Macaca fascicularis: one gene and its partners. The protein of the gene in region 1 binds, or shares a complex with, the protein of each later gene. Links are inferred from orthologs where the notes say so. Each region holds a gene or a part of one and is shown in the gene's direction. Other genes may lie near its edges. The genes, in order: NSMCE3, SMC5, NSMCE2 and NSMCE1.

Region 1 (3,922 bases):
CAAGAAACAGCATTGAAAAACCAGCCCAGTTGTTGACAATAGCTTTTATTTAATTTTCCACTTTCCCCTTATATCTTGGTCACCGAACTTTTTTGACTCAAGGTAGACCATCCACATCCTGTGGTAGGGACCTTTTGCAGAATTCTAGATGGCAGGAAGCTTTTATGAACCTAAGTCCAAATTTTAATTTGCAAGGAAACTGAAGCAGATGAATTTTCTCATTGTAAAAAAATGAATACCTTGATAATATATTTGTTTTTCGTAGTAGGCCTTTGTCATTAAGCTTGATGCCTGAGGATATAGTTGTATCTTGTGTGGAACAGTAAGTTATTACTCACTGCGTATCAGATTTTAGCATACTTGCATTAGTTCATGGAATATGATTTTACATTTACTATAGCAGTTCCAGTGCCATTATCAGATTGCATTTTCCTACTGAATTACAAACAAATGTGTTATGCTACTAACATTTAACAAAATTTTAATAAGGTTGTGTTTGATGCTATTATTCAGATAATGTGTTCTAAATTGCTTTCCTTTGAATATATTTGCATTAAAGAGGAACTCGATTTGGTTCTTTGAAGAGTTTATCCACTTTCTGGGTAGCTTTAAAAAGACACAGGGAAATTCAGTTTCTTCTTTGCAAGTCAATAAATAGAGAAGAAACAAATTTGCTAAGATCTGTAGAAGTAATGGCAGCAGATTGCTGATGGTTTGAGTTAATGAAATGACTCATTTTGGCTACTTGAGTTGCACAATTAAAATATACATAGACTGCACACATCATAGATGAGGGATAAATACCCCTGTGTTCTCTTTTCTTTCTCAAAGCTAATATATTATGAATTAAGAAATTTAAGAGATCCACATTATTGCAATTCTTGATCAGTGATGCCCAAAATTAAGTGGTAATCTCTTGAGAGTGCACGTTTGCAGCATTCCTCTTACGCATTTCTGCTAAAATTGTGGCTGTGAGCTGAAGGCAGTTGTTTTCCAAAGGATAAACTCATTTGACCAAGCTAAAACATTTACTTAATATTGACAAATTTTGTGGGGTTTTCTCATAGTTGTCTAGCTAAAGGAGTTTAATGCAGAGAATACACATACGGAAATAGTGAAACCGAAGTCCTGCTTGCGCGGAAAGCCTGCAGCAGACTTTTGTTTTTAACAAACTCCACGGGGCATTAGAGAAAGTAACTGGGGGCAGTGGGTTGGAGGGTATAAAATTGAGCGGAGGGACGAAAACTAAGAGCCCTCTGGGTTTTTTATATCCTTCTACATGTTGTGTAGAAATAAATGCTTTTACTTCCACGGTCGTACCTTCCTCTTCACCTTTTTTTTTTTCTTTCTCACACATTCATCCTGTGAGATCTTTTCATTTACAAATGCTCCCGATTTAGAATTAGAAACTCATAATACCGTCTGTAAAACTTGCCTGAGCCTGTCTGGTCCTGAATTTAGCGACACACTTGTTTAGGAGTTTCGGTTCTCGTTCTCTGCTTGCATGGTTTAGTAAGAACAACACTTCGCTATACTGAAATTCACCGACCAGACCTGCAGGGCTGCACAGAAATCTCGGATGCTTTTGGTACCCCCAGCCCCGCAGCCGCGCAGGCGCACCGCCCAGCCGCCGTGACGCAAGGCGCAGGCTTCATGACGCGGCACGCAGTCTCAGCCGACACTGCGCGCCCCTTCTGGGGCCCCGCCCAGGCAGCGGCCTTAGCGGGTCGCCGACCCGCGATCCCAGCCGCGGCTGCTTGCTTGCCGGAGTGTGCACCGGTACGCGTCGCCGGTGACATGTTGCAAAAACCGAGGAACCGGGGTCGCTCTGGCGGCCAGGCCGAGAGGGACAGCGACTGGAGCCGTGGCGGAAACTCCGGGGCCTCGCGGGCGGGCGAACACGCCCGGGCCCGCAGAGACGGCTTCGCAGAGGAGGCCCCGAGCACTTCCCGGGGGCCGGGCGGCTCGCAGGGGTCGCAGGGCGCCCGCCGGTCCCAGGCCTCCCCCGCCGTGGGCCCCAGGACCCAGAAGCAGCAGGAGCTGAAAGTGTCCGAGCTGGTGCAGTTCTTACTGATTAAGGACCAGAAGAAGATTCCGATCAAGCGGGCCGACATACTGAAGCACGTCATCGGGGACTACAAGGACATCTTCCCCGACCTCCTCAAACGGGCCGCCGAGCGCCTCCAGTACGTCTTCGGTTATAAGCTGGTGGAACTTGAACCCAAGAGCAACACTTACATCCTCATCAACACCCTGGAGCCGGTGGAGGAGGATGCCGAGGTGAGGGGTGACCAAGGCACGCCCACTACGGGCCTCCTGATGATCGTCCTGGGGCTCATCTTTATGAAGGGCAACACCGTCAAGGAGACTGAAGTCTGGGACTTTCTGCGGCGCTTAGGGGTCTACCCCACCAAGAAGCATTTCATTTTCGGAGATCCAAAGAAACTCATTACCGAGGACTTTGTGCGACAACGTTACCTGGAATACCGGCGGATACCCCACACCGACCCCGTGGACTACGAGTTCCAGTGGGGCCCGCGAACCAACCTGGAAACCAGCAAGATGAAAGTTCTTAAGTTTGTGGCCAAAGTCCATAATCAAGACCCCAAGGACTGGCCAGCGCAGTACTGTGAGGCGTTGGCAGATGAGGAGAACAGGGCCAGACCTCAGCCCAGTGGCTCAGCCCCATCCTCTTGAAATCTGAGGTGGATTCAGAGGGACCCCCGGGACAAGGGTCTGAGACCCAAAGGCACAGTGCAGAGGAGCGGGGGAAGGGAGAACGAACCCAGGAAGCGTATTTCTGTAGCGTTTCAATGTGTGTAGCTTTAGGATGTGTTTGCAAAGTTTTGTTCTTTTAATGTTGTGTTATTTGGTTCCAGATTTTCATCTATAAACAAAGGAGCATTTGTTTTGCTTTGATTTTACTTTTTTTGGTATAAAAAATTTTCCTAGCTTAGTAAAACGAATTGGAAAACTTGACTATGATCTGAAACAGATATGCCAGAAGGAACACATAAGTAAGTTGCTTTGGTGCCAAGAAAATAAAAAAGTAGCTATTATCGGGTCTCTTAAGCATCCCAGTTTGTAAGGAAAAATAAAAGTCTTTATAAAATTAAAAATAAAAACGTAATTGCCTATATCCTTATTACCTTAACCTATTTTATTTTTTCTATATTTCCTACATATGTAAGTATTATTCATGGTTCCAAGCAATGAACGTGGTGTATTTTCTCCAAATAGCAATTGTTTATATTCATAATTACTCAGCTGTGTTGCTAAACATGCAGTTCCACTTAGTTTTTTTTACATGCTACTCTAGTTATTACAATAAATACTGTATTTTTGAAGCACTGAAGCATTGTGTGTTTTTTAAATCGTGGGCCATGAGACAATTTCATGACGAAATCAGCGTCTTAAAGTTTTTGCAACATATTGAGGTCAATGTTGTTTTGTAGAAGTTGTTTTACTTTTGTGTGTGTGTGTACAGGATCATGAGGTAAAATATATTTCTACTGTGGATACCAAAAAGGCTTATAAAACAATAGCGTAACCATTAACCATGCCTGCTTGGGAATCAGACTGCCTGGGTTCAGATCCTGGCCCCACCGTCACTAGTATAGGAATTTACGTAGGTTCCTTAGTTTGTATGCAGATGTTTCTTGACCTGTAAAATGGGTTTAGTCCCTGATGTGGAGGAATTTGCTTGTTATTCTTTAATGTTTTTATTTTTTATTCTCGGTCTGGAGCTGCCACTTTTTAAATACAACTTTTCTTTATCTTGTTTTCCAAATGATTCCTAGGAGAGCAATTACTGGTTCAAAAGGTATATTCCGCTAGTCTGACTCTATTGTATGGGGAAATAAGTATAAAGTGTATGGTGAGTATAGCCCACATAGAACAGTGAGAGCAGGACATAAGATCA
Region 2 (4,498 bases), on another chromosome or scaffold:
GGGTGCTCTTTTCTCAGATGCCACAGTTTCCTCTTGTCCTTCAGGGTTTATCTTAAACATCACCACCTCTAAGAGACCTTCCGTACCTCCCACCCATCAGGTTCATTTTGTTTTCTTCCTAACACCTGTCACAGTCTGAAATTATCCTAATCATTTGTTGTGTCAACCTTAAGTAGTGAAATTTATAAAATAACATTAAGTAGAGTTTATTCTAACGCAAAGCTTGAGGACAGCCACCTGGAAACACCAACTCCAAACAAATAAGGTCAATGTTCCAAAGTGAAGTTAAGGTTTCATTTACGTAGGCAGAAGCAGAGAAGGTTCAGCAGGAGTACATTTTCAATACAAGACCAAAGCATAAAACACAGCGACTAGATTAGTTATAGATATCTCCATTCCAAGGAGGATAACTATATTAATCTATGAAGAGGGATAGTGATCTGAGGGGGTCTTACCTCTGTCTCTGTTTGGTCTTCCTGATTATTTACAGGAAAAAACAAGGCAGACATTGCAGCTGTACGCCATAGGACTCAGGCCCCGTAGCCACATTCTTCGCAAGGCTCTGAATAATTTCAAGTTCCAACAGCTTTAAGTTGGAATTTTTTAATTTCAGTTGATTCACTTGTTCTTTTCCTGTCTCCCACAACAGAAAATAAGTTCCCAGGGATGCAACCTTGGCAGGCTTCTAAACTGCCACGGCTCCAGTTTCTTGTAGGTTAGACACTCATTATTAGTTGAAGGAAAGATCTAGGCAGGCCTCGGTGCGCCGCCTCCTCTTTAAAGCGAGGGCTTACTAGATGAATGTGAGCAGACGGAAGCAGAACCACCCTGTTAATGAAGGCTGCGCATTCTAGCTCAGGGATTTCTAGAAACCTCGGGGGCGGAAGTTTAACCAGAGAATTAGGAAGCAAGGAGCAGAGAAGCAATGAGGATAACCTGTGCAGTGTAGTCGTTCCACGAGTTTGAGAACGCCTAGCACGATGCCTTCACGGAGCGTCGGGCAGAGTTATTTGAGAGTATTTCTTTTTCGGGGTTTTTGAGACAGGGACCTGATTTGAAGCAACGGGGAAGAAAACCAAGAGGACGAAGAGCCAAGGATGGGCGTGCCCGGGAGCTCTCAGGTGGGCACCTGGAAGGGGTGGGAGCAAGCAGGGCCTAACGTACCCCTGGCCTTGGCGGCCCTGGACGCCCCTGGTGCCCCCCACAGCTGCCTCCCACCACACATGACTGAGGCTCGGGAAGCAATAAAGTGGCTTTCAAAATACTAAATGCAATTGACATCTTTTCCTGAGTGGAAAAAAAACAAAAAAGGATCTGAATGCTGAAATATACAGAGAAGAAACTCCCGTTGCCACGTCCCCCGAGGTCCCCACTCAGTCCCGTCTGCTGCTCCGCCCTTAGTCGGGCCCTAGTTCTGCGAGGCGGAGAGCAGGAGGCGCTGGGTGGGCCCGCTGACGCTCCGGATCTGAACTGAGCAGGCGCGGCGCGAGATCGCGGGAGCGAGCGCGCGGGAGCAGTTCGCGGCAGTTCGCGCGGGAGCCGGGCGCTGGGGCGCTTGGGCGCCTGGGCTGCCGGACGGTGGGAACGGAAGTCGCTGTGGGGCGCTGAGAAAGCCAGGATGGCGACTCCAAGCAAGAAGACGTCAACTCCAAGCCCCCAGGCTTCCAAGAGAGCTCTCCCGAGAGACCCTTCGTCGGAGGTCCCGAGCAAGAGGAAGAATCCGGCCCCGCAGCTGCCGCTGGTGCAGTCGTCCGGGCCTTTCGTGGAGGGCTCTATCGTCCGTATCTCGATGGAGAACTTCCTGTGAGTGGCCGGGAGGCCGCGCCGCGGGTGTGGAGGCGTGCGGTCCAGCAGGCCCCGGGGCGCCGGCTGCGCGCGGGCGTGGGCGTGTGGGTGTGTACCTGGCTTGTGGGTCTGGCCTTGAATTCGTGCCGGGGTTCCCATGAGGATTTTTCTACGAAGGCTGTGGAGATTGACGTGTATGATGTAGATGTGTGCCTTACGTGATGTGGTTTTTAAATTTAGTCCGCCAAGGTTTTCCAAAAGCGTCTTGTAGCAGGTAGTAGTTGTACGAGGGAGTAGGTCTCTGCCCGCTGGGAGTCGCGATCCATAGCGGCCCTGGTCTGTAATTCACAGAAGTATTGTCCCCGGGAATTTACGAGGAGGCAACAGTTAATTCGGCGTGGTGGGGATGCTGTGGCAGATTCTTAGGGTAGGCATTTGCCACAGAGGAGTAGATAAGACGGTAAAGGTTGTTTGGGATGGGAGGTTACAAGTACAAAAAAATTAAACCTTCCTGGCAATTGTTGGATCTTGACCCTTGACCCCTCTAAACCCAGCTTTCTTCCCTGGTTCCTCCCTCTCTCCTTCAGACAACTAGTTATCACTTTAGAATTTAGTAAGTTTTAAATATATCATGTATTTGTCTAGCACCTCACAGTGAATCTGTTCCAAGTCGTCTTTTTTTTTTTTTTTGAGACGGAGTTTCGCTCTTGTCGCCCACGGTGGATGGAGTGCTGTGGCGCTACCTCGGCCCGCTGCAACTTCTGCCTCTCGGTTTCAGGCTCCTGGGTCAGCCTCCCGAGTAGCTGGGACTGTAGGTGCGCGCCACCACGCCCGGCTAATTTTTGTTTTTGAGACGGAATCTCATACTGTCGTCCGGGCTGGAGGATAGTGGCGCAATCTCGGCCCACTGCAACCTCCGCCTCCCAGTTTCAAGCGATTCTCCTGCCTCACCGAGTAGCTGGGATTACAGGCACCCCCCACCACGCCCAGCAATTTTTTTGTTGTTGTTGTTGTATTTTTAGTAGACACGGGGTTTCACCATGCTGACCAGGCTGATCTGGAACTTTTGACTTCAGGGGATCTGCACGCCCCCATGGTGCTGGGATTATAGGCGTGAGCCACCGTGTCCGCCCTGAAGTCTTTTTTAAACTTGCACATAGTGGCATAAGGATAACAGAATTGTATTTTAACAATACTACCTTTTTTGTTTTCAGGCACCTGTTGTGTGCCAGGTACACAGTGCACTCATTCTTTCTTCATAACAACTCTATCTTGATAATTTCCATTGCTGAAAGAAGCTCAGTAGGTTGTTTTGCCCAGTTTTACACAGCTGTTAAGTAGTTGCATTGCTATTTGAATCCAGATCAGGAAAGATAAATGTAATCAAATGAGTTAGATACCATAACAACATATATATCAGGATCCTTCACAAAGGATGAAGTGGTTAGTTTTGTCCACGAGTATGAGAAAGGGCTTTGTAGAGAAGATATGAAAGTCTTTGTTCTTGCTCTGTTGCCCACGCTGGAGCTCAGTGGCATGATCAGGGCTCAGTGAAGCCTGTACCTCCCCTTCTCAAGTGATCCTCCTACCTCAGCCTTTCAGGTAGCTGGGACTATAGGCGCATACCATACCTGGCTAATGTTTTAAAAATTTTTTGTAGAGATGGGGTGTCACCATGTTGCCCAGGCAAGTCTCGAACTTCTGGGCTCAAGCAACTCACCTCGGCCTCCCAAAGTGCTGGGATTACAGGCGTGAGCCACTGCACCCGCCTGAGAAGATAGGAAAGTCTTAAAAGAAGTGAAGAGCATTGAAGACAGAAGGAACGGTCTGAAATAGTTTGGTATATTTAGAAAGTGTCAAGTGTTTTAGTAAGGCAAGAGTATAGGATGTGAGTGAGTATTTGGACAGGGTAAGCAACCATTGAGAGACCTGTATGTTTACTATGCTAAGAAGTTCCAGCAGCATCCTGTAGGCAGCCACGGTGTGTTTTCAACAGGGAATGACATGTGTTTTATGTTATTCTGGAAGCACTGCGGAGGATGATTTAGAAAGGGTGCAAGATTGGAAGCAAAAAGACAATACGAAGGCAAGAGATGATCAGAGTGTGAAGGAATGAGATTTGGCAGGATCCAGCTACAGAATAATTGAGGCATGGGGGAAAGGGAGGAATGCAGCATTTTTCCCAGGTGTTTGCCTTAGCTAATTGGTCAGATGCTATTCAGAAGAGAGAGCAGTTTGAGGAGAATAATAAATGCCTCTTAGATCCTGTGATTTGAAGTTTCCTTTGGAGTATCTAAGAGAGATGTTCTATAGGCAGAATATAAGAGTCTGGAGCTTAGAGGAAAGTATGAACGGATGAGAGATTTGGGAGTCATGCATACAGGTGATTGATGAAGTTGCAGAACTGGTTATGATTGCTCAATAGGAATTATAAATTGAAGGACTAGAAGACCATGTACAGGGTCTTGGGAGAATGCCTGCTTTTAAGGGTGAAAGGAGGAAGGACTCAAAGCCAGAAGGAACTATTCAGGGAGGTAAGATGAAAACAATGGGAGGCAATTATCAGAGAAGCCAAGGAAAAACAATGTTTCAAAAATATCACCTGCTACATTGAAGTCAGATAGCGGGGTTGAAAAGAGCCCACTGTATTTAGCAATTGAGGAATCTTTGACCTTTTAATGAAGCAGTGGAAGCAGAAAACTTTGCAGGCCAT
Region 3 (4,654 bases), on another chromosome or scaffold:
CATCTCCTGCTAAGTTTTTGAAGATGGAAGAAGTTAAAACAAGATTAAATGAAAGAAGGAAATCACTTAGTTACATTTTACGTACTAGACCTCCTAACCTGGACTAGTTATATTTTCCATGTAACAAATGGAATTTCCATAATTTGCACAAATATAATTTGGCTAGAGTAATTGTTAAATAGCCCCCTCGTTGGCTGAAGGACTAGTCCTGAAGAACAGAATCTAAGAACCATCATTAAAAATGCCTAATCAAGTTGCAGCTAAGAGGTATGTGGATGGCTTTACAAGGTGTTAAGACTCAGTTAAGTCTTAAAAAACCACTTTAGAATTAGGTCCAATTAAACTCTGTAGAAGAAGCTATGGTAAATTATCCTTTCAGAGGTTCTCTTCGTGCTAGGGATTAAGAAAACTTGAAGATCAGCTCTCTCAATACAGGCTGTATTACTATCGGCATGAAATCCAGAGATCCCACTATATTCTCTTATTTTCTTTTACAAGCGCCAGTAACTTCATTTTTAAGAATTTGGCGTGGAACTGTGATTTTCAGTTTGGGAAGTAATCCTAATCAAAAGACATGCTTTCAAGAATGAGGCATGGCATCATTATACCAATTACCCAGCGTGCAGAATAATATTTCTTAAGGAAATCGAATTGTCGTGGACAAACACTGTTTACCCCCTTCAGAGGACAAAAGAAGGTAGGTCTATATTTAGCCTTTCGCAAAACCTCAGTTCCATAAAGGAAGCACTGATCTCCACAAATCCATTATCACAAACAAAATATAATGGTTGTCGGTCAAAATAAATGCAAGCTGCATATGTTTTCCAGAAAAGTTCTGACATGAGGCTTAACCTGAAATCCTGGGAAAGGCAGGTGAAGGACAATTAGAGAAGGTGTCCCTTGTTGTGCGCAAAGACAGGAAAACTTCTCCCTCACTACCCTTCACCTATGTTTGAGGGAGCTCCATGCGCTTGCAATCAGGAGACCCAGTTCTACGACTCTGTGACTTTTTTTCTTTTTCCTGTCCGATCATAGAGGAATCAGGGCCTTGGGAACATTTCCCCCCCCCCCCCCCCCCCGCCAAATGCAAAGGATTTTGGCATTAGCACAGGTGAAGGCATTAAGACGCAGCGAGCAGCAATGACTTGCCCAAACTCACAGCCCATGGCATAACTAGAATGCAAATCCAGGTCCGTCAGGCTGTAAAAGTCCTCACTACTAGCCTTTCAGTTTTCTCAAAAGCAAAGAGAGAAATAACGACGACATCCACACTGCAGTGTTCCCGGAAACTTGGAAGGATGAGATTCGGACCAAGCAGCCAGCTGAACGGTGCTTCCTAAAGCGAGGAAGGAGTGTGCAAAATGAGTTCCCCCTAAGCGGAGACGAAGAGCTGGACTGCAGCCCCCGCCCCAGAAAGCCCCTAAGCCCTCCATCCCGAGTCCCCCGTCCAGGCTGCACGCGACGCTGGAGACCTCCCCAGGGCCAGCACGGCCCAGCGGGGAGGTGAAAGGGGCCATGCAAAAATGGGGCGCGCTCATCCCATCCCCACTCACCTGTCAGCCGGGCCGCGCCAGCGGCGCACGCGCAGGGCAGGAGGTTGCGCGCGGAGTCGGCACCCAGGTTCCACCCCTCCCTCACGGCGGCGGTCCTCTTCTATCCCCAGTCCCGGACCTGGAACGGGTCAGAGCCGGGCTTCCGCCCCTGACTTCCAGGACGGTCACATGACCGAAGCGGCGGTGAGCAGGGAGGGGCATCATGTGACCACTCGCCGGCGACGGATGATGACGCAAGAGCCCGCGCTCACTTTTCAGCTACAGGCGAAGGGGGCTGAGGAAAGGAGGTGGGTACAAGTAGGGAAAGTTGGGGTGCCACCAGACGGAGACAACTCGGACAACCAGGTAGGGAAGAAGCGGGGGACGGCAATGGGGAAGGTGGCGGGAATTGTCGCCTCCCTCAGGGACACTCCACGGGGACCCCGAGCCGGGAATTCGTCGACCTGGATTATGGTTGTGGCCCTTTTCACGCCACAGTAGTGAGTCTGGGACAGTTTACCCTCCTGTCCGAGGCGCCATCTCTCCATCCGTTAGCCACAAGTGTGTAAGGGCAAGATCACGAATTTTTGATCCAAATAGATGTGGTTTGAACTGACTTTAAAAGTAAGGCCACGGGAAGGTCGTTTGAATAAACTCTCTGGACCTCAGTTTCCTCTTCACTTATGTAGATTGCAGTGAGAATTAGCGATAAGGAGAATGAAGTGCCAGGACACCAGTTTATGGCATTCTGTAGGTGACCGAGAAATGATGATGTCTGTTGTTATTTTTGTAACTCGCCAAATCTTTATTGGTCCCCTATTTTGTGTGAAGAACTGCTTTATATGCAATAGAATATGTCAGGGTTCTAGTTTAAGGAGCTTTCAGTGTAAAGAAGCTGCAGACATGTGAGCAAATAGTTGTGATGAGTTTCATAATGGGAGTGTGTTGTGTACATGTGCATGTGATAGGAATAATGGTAGCATGGGGGAGGGAACAAGCAATTGTATGAGAAGGATTCAGAGAGAAGGGTATAGCCTTGCATGCTGAAAAAGGAGAGGCAGCTCTGGCTGACTTGTACAAGGTTCCCGTGGATTTAAAGGAAGTCAGCATATTGTCTATAAATAACATGCAGAGAAAAAACTCAGGAAATGCACAACTTGTTCTAAACTTTCTTGGAGATCATAGGTATTGGGAAGAAAAGATCAGTGTTATTACATGGGAAGGGATCCAAGAGAGATTGATTTAAATCAGTTATTCTCAACTGATGCGCTATTGACATTTTAGGCCAGATAATTTTTTCCTGTGGGGTGGGGGTGAGGGCTGTCCTGTGTATTGTAGGACGTTTGAGAGTATCCCTGGCCTCTGCCCACTAGATGCCAACCATAATGTCTACAGATATTGCTACATGTCCCTTGGGAGAGGGGTAAAATCTTTCTTGGTTGAGAACCACTTAAACCAAGCCATGAGAGATGGTGTCTTAGTCAGTGTGGGCTTCTATAACAAAATGCCATAAACTAGGTAGTTTACGAACAACGGAAATTTATTTCTCACAGTTCTGGAGGCTGGAAAGTCCAAGGTCAGGGTGCCAGCAGATTTAGTGTCTCGCAAGGGCCTGTTTCCTGGTTCATAGGTGGCTTCTTGCTGTGTCCTCACACGGTGGAATGGCAAAGCAGCTCTCTGGAGCATCTTCTAAAAGGGCACTAATTTTATTCATGAAAGTGGGCCTAATCGCCTCCCAAAAGGCCCCACCTCCTCATACCATCACCTTAGGAGTTAGGATTTCAACATATAAATTTTGGGTGACACAAACATTCAGACTTTAGCATATGGGTAAGATGTGGGCAGATAGAAAACTGAAGAAAGAGCCTGGTACGGTGGCTCACACCTGTAATCCCAGCACTTTGGGAGGCCAAGGAGGGCGGATCACTTGAGGTGGGGTGTTTTGAGACTAACCTGGTCAACATAGCGAAACCCTGTCTCTACTAAAAATACAATAAATAAATAAATAAATAAATAAATAAATAAATAAAATAACCAGTGTGTTCTGGCGCACACCTGTAATCCCAGCTACTCAGGAGGCTGAGGCAGGAGAATCCCTTGAACCCAGGAAGCAGAGGTTGAGGTGAGCCGAGATCATGCCACTGCACTCCAGCTTGGACGACAGAGCGAAACTCTGTCTCAAAAAATAAATAAATAAAAAGAAAGAAAACTGAAGAGATGGTTTTCTCATGGTGGGAGCAGGATGAACAAAGTCCTTTTTTCCTTTTTGGAGACAGCGTCTCACTCTTATTGCCCAGGCTAGAGTGCAGTAGCATGATCATAGCTTACTGCAGCCTTGGACTCCTGGACCCAAGGGGTCCTCCCACCTCGGCCTCCCAAGGGGCTAGGACAATAGGTGCAAGCCACCATGTCTGTGTTGTTTGGTTTTTTTTTTTTGAGATGGGGTCTCGCTGTGTTGCCCAGGCTAGTCTTGAGCTCCTGGCCTCAAGCAGTCTTCCTGCCTTGCCCTTTCAAAGTGCTGGGATTATAGGCATGAGCCACCGCGCCCAGCCTGAACAAAGTCTGGAGGTGAGTTCAAGAATATTGAGTATGAAGGGGAGAAGGAAACACGAGAGCTGTGCATCTGACCGAAGCAGTTTATTCATTTATTGATAGTTTCAGAGCACTTGCTGTTTATGAAGCACTGCGAACATCTTGCAAGATAGTTACTAACAAAGTAGAGTTACTGCCAAAGGCTATAATTATATCAAAGAGGATGCTGTTAGAGTCAGAGAAAGGAGTTGTCTTTGACTTGTACTTAGCTGTATTTATTGGGAGGAATTGAGAAAAGTATGTCTATTCCATCTTTCTGCACCATCCATTGTCTTTGCTTTTCAATTCAGTCTGTCTTAATCTTTTCCCTACTCCAGAATTACAGAAAAGCATGGTCATGTTTTCCTTGGTCCTCTGCAAGAGTGAAGTTTCACTCAAGTAATGTGAGTTTTGCATTCAACCAAGTAGTGACAACTACTGTTTGGTATATACTTTCCATTTATACTGGATTGCATTAATCTTCATAGATATTGTGTCTTTGTTCAAGCTACCATAACAAAATACCATAGACTGGGTGGCTTAAACAACAG
Region 4 (3,935 bases), on another chromosome or scaffold:
GGCTCTACCTGTCAGAAACAGGAGTGGGCCGGGTACGGTGGCTCATGCCTGCAGTCCCAGCACTTTGGAAGACCAAGGTGGGTGGATCACCTGAGGTCGGGAGTTCAAGACCAGCCTGGTCAACATGGCAAAACCCCATCTCTACTAAAAATACAAAATTAGCCGGTGGTGGCACACACCTGTAATCCCAGCTACTCTGGAGGCTGAGGCAGAAGAATTGCTTGAACCCAGAACACGGAAGTTGCATTGAGCCAAGATCATGCCATTGCACTCCACCCTGGGCAACAAGAGCAAAACTCCATCTCAAAAAAAAAAAAACCAAAAAACCAAAAAACAAAAACGGGAGTGACAGCTCTTGCTTGTAAAAATTAGAAAATAACAGGAAAGGCAGCTGAGCACTCGAGTGACTCGCAGGCTTCAGTGACGCCATCTCCTGGCGCGGTTCACGTCCGATGCATGAGCTGACTGTGGAGAAACTGGAATCAGCCTGCATGGGTCCGTGTCCTGGGTCCGTGTCATTTGCCTCCCTTGGGTCTCCCTCAGTGCTGCCTCTCTCCTGTGACCTGGCAGGCGGGTCCGCCTGGGGAGCTGTGTTCTTCATGTGCTTCCTGGTTCTCCCAGGGTGTTCAGGATGCATGATGGGTGACCGCACCCTGGCGTGGGAACCAGGAGGCCTGGCTTCCGTTGGAGGCTCCACTGCCCCTGGTGTGATGGGGCCCGTCTGCCCTCTCCAGACTCCTTCCAGCTCCGTCTGTAAAGTGATGTGGCCGGAAATGATCTCTGAGGGTCCCTACTGCAGTTGGAGGCAGAAATGCTGGGAGGCACCGGGGATGCTGCTTTTTGGGAGTGGGATGGGTGGCGGATGGAAGCAGTGGGTGCTCGGGTTTGTGCCCTGGGGAGACTGACCCCTTGTGGGCCTCAGCGTCCTCATCTGCAGGAGGGCTGTGACTTCCTCGCTCGGGGCTGCTGTGCAGACAGAGCAGTCACGTCTGAAGGCACAACAGGTGCTGAGAAAAGGGCGGTGTCGGGGAGCTGTGCCTCCATGCCTTTTGGGCCTTTGCCTCAGTTTCCCTTGCTGAGGCTCTGCCAGGGGGACGTGGCTGATGCCCGTTGTCTGGGGTTGGTGCAAAGGTGCCTAGACCCTTGTGTCTTCCTGAGCACAGGGCTGTGGGATCACAGAGGGAACAGAGGTAGTGAATGGGGAGAGGGCCTGGCTGAGGGTGGCCACCTCCCGTGTGTCCCTGCAGAAGGAAGGGGAGTTCACCCTGCATGGCCGGGCCATCCTGGAAATGGAGCAATACATCCGGGAGACGTACCCCGACGCGGTGAAGATCTGTAATATCTGTCACAGCCTCCTCATCCAGGTACCCGCTGGGCAGGGCATGGGAGCTCATTGCCGGGCCCTCAGCTCCTGGGGCTCTGCACAGGTACTTCCCGAATCCTGGCTCTGGACCCAGCCCTCCTGCACTGCCGGCGCCTCCTCCCACAAGAGCTCCTGGAGGCCATCTCCCAGGACGTGTCAGAGGATGCCTCCCCACGGTGGCCTGCAGGGACGCACTGCCTCTCTCCTCCCTGGTTCTGCTGCTGGGGTCCAAGGGCTCTCGCTTACTTTATTCTTCTCAGGAAGGTTGAGTGTTCTGTGCAACCTGCATTATTTTGGCAGTTTTGTGGCAGAGTATTTGGCGGAGTGTCTCTATCAATTGCTGCTTTCCGCAGTGGTCTACTCCAGTTTGCAGGGCTTTGCAACCACTGAACCAGCGTGGACACTGATGTGTCTTTCAGTTTCTGTCGTTTTGCAGCTGTAGCTGTTTGTAATTGCAATTGCTCTCATGGGCCTCGTACACCTGTATCCTTGGGCACATGGTGATTATTTCCTTGGGCGGGGTTTCTGGGACAAAGTGCAATTTTTTTTTGAAAGCTTTTGATCCACATCAGCAAATAAGCTTCTGAAAAGCTGTGGCTGTCCACATGCCACCTGCAGGATCTGAGTGCGGGAGCTTGCCAGCCCTCGGCTTCTGTCACTGCGTTCATGTGTTCAGAATTGTTTGGTAAAACCCACTGCAACAAACAAGCAAACAAAAGACTCCCCTGCACTAAGGCGTTTGGGATTTTCAGTATTAATCTGGGGACTGGAAGATAACCCGATGCCACCAGCTGCCCATTTTCCTTGTGGCTTCCCCGGAGGTTTGCAGAACACAGAGGTGTGCACCAGCTCTGCCGTCATTGGCCTTTCTTGTTTCAGGGTCAAAGCTGCGAAACCTGTGGGATCAGGATGCACTTACCCTGCGTGGCCAAGTACTTCCAGTCAAACGCCGAACCGCGCTGCCCCCACTGCAACGACTACTGGCCCCACGAGATCCCAGGTGCGTGGGCCCTGAGGTGCTCATGGGAAGGGCTGGGCCAGCAGGATGCAGGGCCTGGTGCTGGGGAAGCCCTTGGAGGCAGGGCCCTGAAAGGCTCCAGGGTGCGTGGGGGTCCGCATTAGCAGCCTGAATCCTAGAAGCAGCCACCGCAGGAAGTAAAGGCTGAGCTGCGTGCACCGTTCCAGAGGACTTTCTAGAACCCAGCAGAAATTCCAACGCTTATGAGCATTTTGTCTAGACAAGGCTCCCTCTCTGGCAGCCCTCTCAGGAGGGGGATGTGACAGCCATGTCCGCAGCTCCCTCAGTGTGTTCCTCTCTGAATTGGGGCTAACTCTGCCTCACGGGCTGGGGAGGGTTGGCAGTGAAGAATGGTGTAGACCTAGGACAGAGTCCTTGGCACAGGAGACGTAGCTGCTGGCTCGAGCTGGTGCTCCTGTGCTGCCAGCCCCTCCGTTCACTGTCTTTCCTGCCTTTTCTGCCTACAGAAGTCTTCGACCCTGAGAAGCAGAGGGAGGCTGGTATCTCAAAATCGAACAAAAAGTCCCTGCGGTCCAGGCAGCATTAGCCGTCGTGCTCTGCTGAGGGACTGGCTGCCTTGGGTGGCCTGATCGCCGCAGCCCTTCTTGGAAGAGAGGCGTCCGTGTTTCAGGTTCCATGCGAGTCACCTCTTTCTTGTTAATGTGGACTGTCCACAGCTTTGGAATAAACTGTCCTGGAAGTTGCTGCAGCCCCTGTCTGTGTTCTCGAGCCTGTGTGTGAGGCTCTGTGTCGTGGCCTTGCCTTCTTTCCTGGAGTTCGGTCATCACTCAGAACCCCTGGGTTTGGGCTCCAGCAGGTGAAACCAGCAGAGCCCCCAGCAACGGCTCAGGACAGCTCACTGTCCTTGCTCAGGGCAGCCTTGCCTCCAGTCCCAGCTGTGACCAGCTGTCCCAGCAGGATTGGGCTGGCCCACACCTGGATGTGTGAACCTTGGCCTCCCCAACTCCCCAGTCTGGACTCTCCCCTGGCCCAAGGTGCCACTGGCCTGAATGGGCTGAGGCTGGGCGTTTGGGCGGGACACGTGCTCTCCCTCCCTGGACCCTCTGTTCCCTGTGGGTGCCCGGCAGCCCCGCCATCCAGCAGCCCCAGCCGGGACCGGGAGTCAGCCTCAATGCTTCCTCTCCCTGACCCTCCTGCATCCCACTGTCACCAGATCCTGTCCAGCCCAGCTGCCAGTAGCCCTCCGGCCCTGCCGCTGCTGCCTCAGGCTGAGCGCCAGCCCCGGCCCACACCCTGCCTCCATGCTCCCTGTGGAAGACCCCTGGACGCCCCCACTGCTGCAGCAGGGCTGTGGCCCCTGGTGAGGCCCCTGCTCGTCCGTCACCGCCTCCCCCCACCCACTGCTCAGGGTGCAGTGCTTCCTTCGTCAGCTCGGGAGCCTCTGCACAGAGCGCCCTGGGCCTGCGCACCCTCCCCTCTGGTGTCCGGCTTTGTTTCCTGGCTAGCACCCGGTCGCCCTTTGGCACTGGTCAGCCCCTCGCTCCCTGCGCTTCCTCCCTCCTCATACTTGTTAAGTCCCCATCTTCATGCCTC

What was found.
Region 2: NSMCE3 (region 1) and SMC5 share a complex: the UniProt entries of both Homo sapiens proteins name them as parts of the SMC5-SMC6 complex. The link is inferred for Macaca fascicularis from reciprocal best matches to the Homo sapiens genes NSMCE3 and SMC5.
Region 3: NSMCE3 (region 1) and NSMCE2 share a complex: the UniProt entries of both Homo sapiens proteins name them as parts of the SMC5-SMC6 complex. The link is inferred for Macaca fascicularis from reciprocal best matches to the Homo sapiens genes NSMCE3 and NSMCE2.
Region 4: the proteins of NSMCE3 (region 1) and NSMCE1 are in contact, whole or in part, in a crystal structure (PDB 7DG2), measured with the Xenopus laevis proteins. The link is inferred for Macaca fascicularis from reciprocal best matches to the Homo sapiens genes NSMCE3 and NSMCE1. Residues at the interface, in XP_018121157.1 of Xenopus laevis: Gly57, Glu58, Val60, Gln61, Tyr62, Leu64, Ile65, Lys66, Gln68, Lys69, Val82, Thr100, Gln102, Gln103, Val104, Phe105, Gly106, Phe107, Asn123, Leu125, Gln126, Arg127, Val128, Gly130, Asp131, Gly132, Met133, Arg134, Asp136, Glu137; in NP_001083134.1 of Xenopus laevis: Ile5, Glu7, Gln10, Arg11, Leu13, Gln14, Ala15, Met17, Ser18, His19, Leu30, His33, Leu37, His38, Leu54, His57, Leu58, Pro60, Leu61, Phe62, Met63, Val84, Asn86, Ile88, Thr89, Met91, Ala92, Ser93, Asp94, Gln149.

What each region holds. Positions count from the first base shown.
Region 1 is NC_088381.1:8,206,863-8,210,784, forward strand, and holds NSMCE3 (non-structural maintenance of chromosomes element 3 homolog), read left to right. Parts: upstream 1-1,683; 5' UTR 1,684-1,797; coding exon 1,798-2,697; 3' UTR 2,698-3,347; downstream 3,348-3,922. UniProt on the Homo sapiens protein: Component of the SMC5-SMC6 complex, a complex involved in repair of DNA double-strand breaks by homologous recombination. The complex may promote sister chromatid homologous recombination by recruiting the SMC1-SMC3 cohesin complex to double-strand breaks.
Region 2 is NC_088389.1:100,952,923-100,957,420, forward strand, and holds the start of SMC5 (structural maintenance of chromosomes protein 5), read left to right. Parts: upstream 1-1,515; 5' UTR 1,516-1,618; coding exon 1,619-1,803; intron 1,804-4,498. UniProt on the Homo sapiens protein: Core component of the SMC5-SMC6 complex, a complex involved in repair of DNA double-strand breaks by homologous recombination.
Region 3 is NC_088382.1:134,752,324-134,756,977, forward strand, and holds the start of NSMCE2 (E3 SUMO-protein ligase NSE2), read left to right. Parts: upstream 1-1,780; 5' UTR 1,781-1,898; intron 1,899-4,654. UniProt on the Homo sapiens protein: E3 SUMO-protein ligase component of the SMC5-SMC6 complex, a complex involved in DNA double-strand break repair by homologous recombination. Is not be required for the stability of the complex.
Region 4 is NC_088394.1:26,306,197-26,310,131, reverse strand, and holds the end of NSMCE1 (non-structural maintenance of chromosomes element 1 homolog), read left to right. Parts: intron 1-1,247; coding exon 1,248-1,364; intron 1,365-2,242; coding exon 2,243-2,363; intron 2,364-2,848; coding exon 2,849-2,928; 3' UTR 2,929-3,090; downstream 3,091-3,935. UniProt on the Homo sapiens protein: RING-type zinc finger-containing E3 ubiquitin ligase that assembles with melanoma antigen protein (MAGE) to catalyze the direct transfer of ubiquitin from E2 ubiquitin-conjugating enzyme to a specific substrate.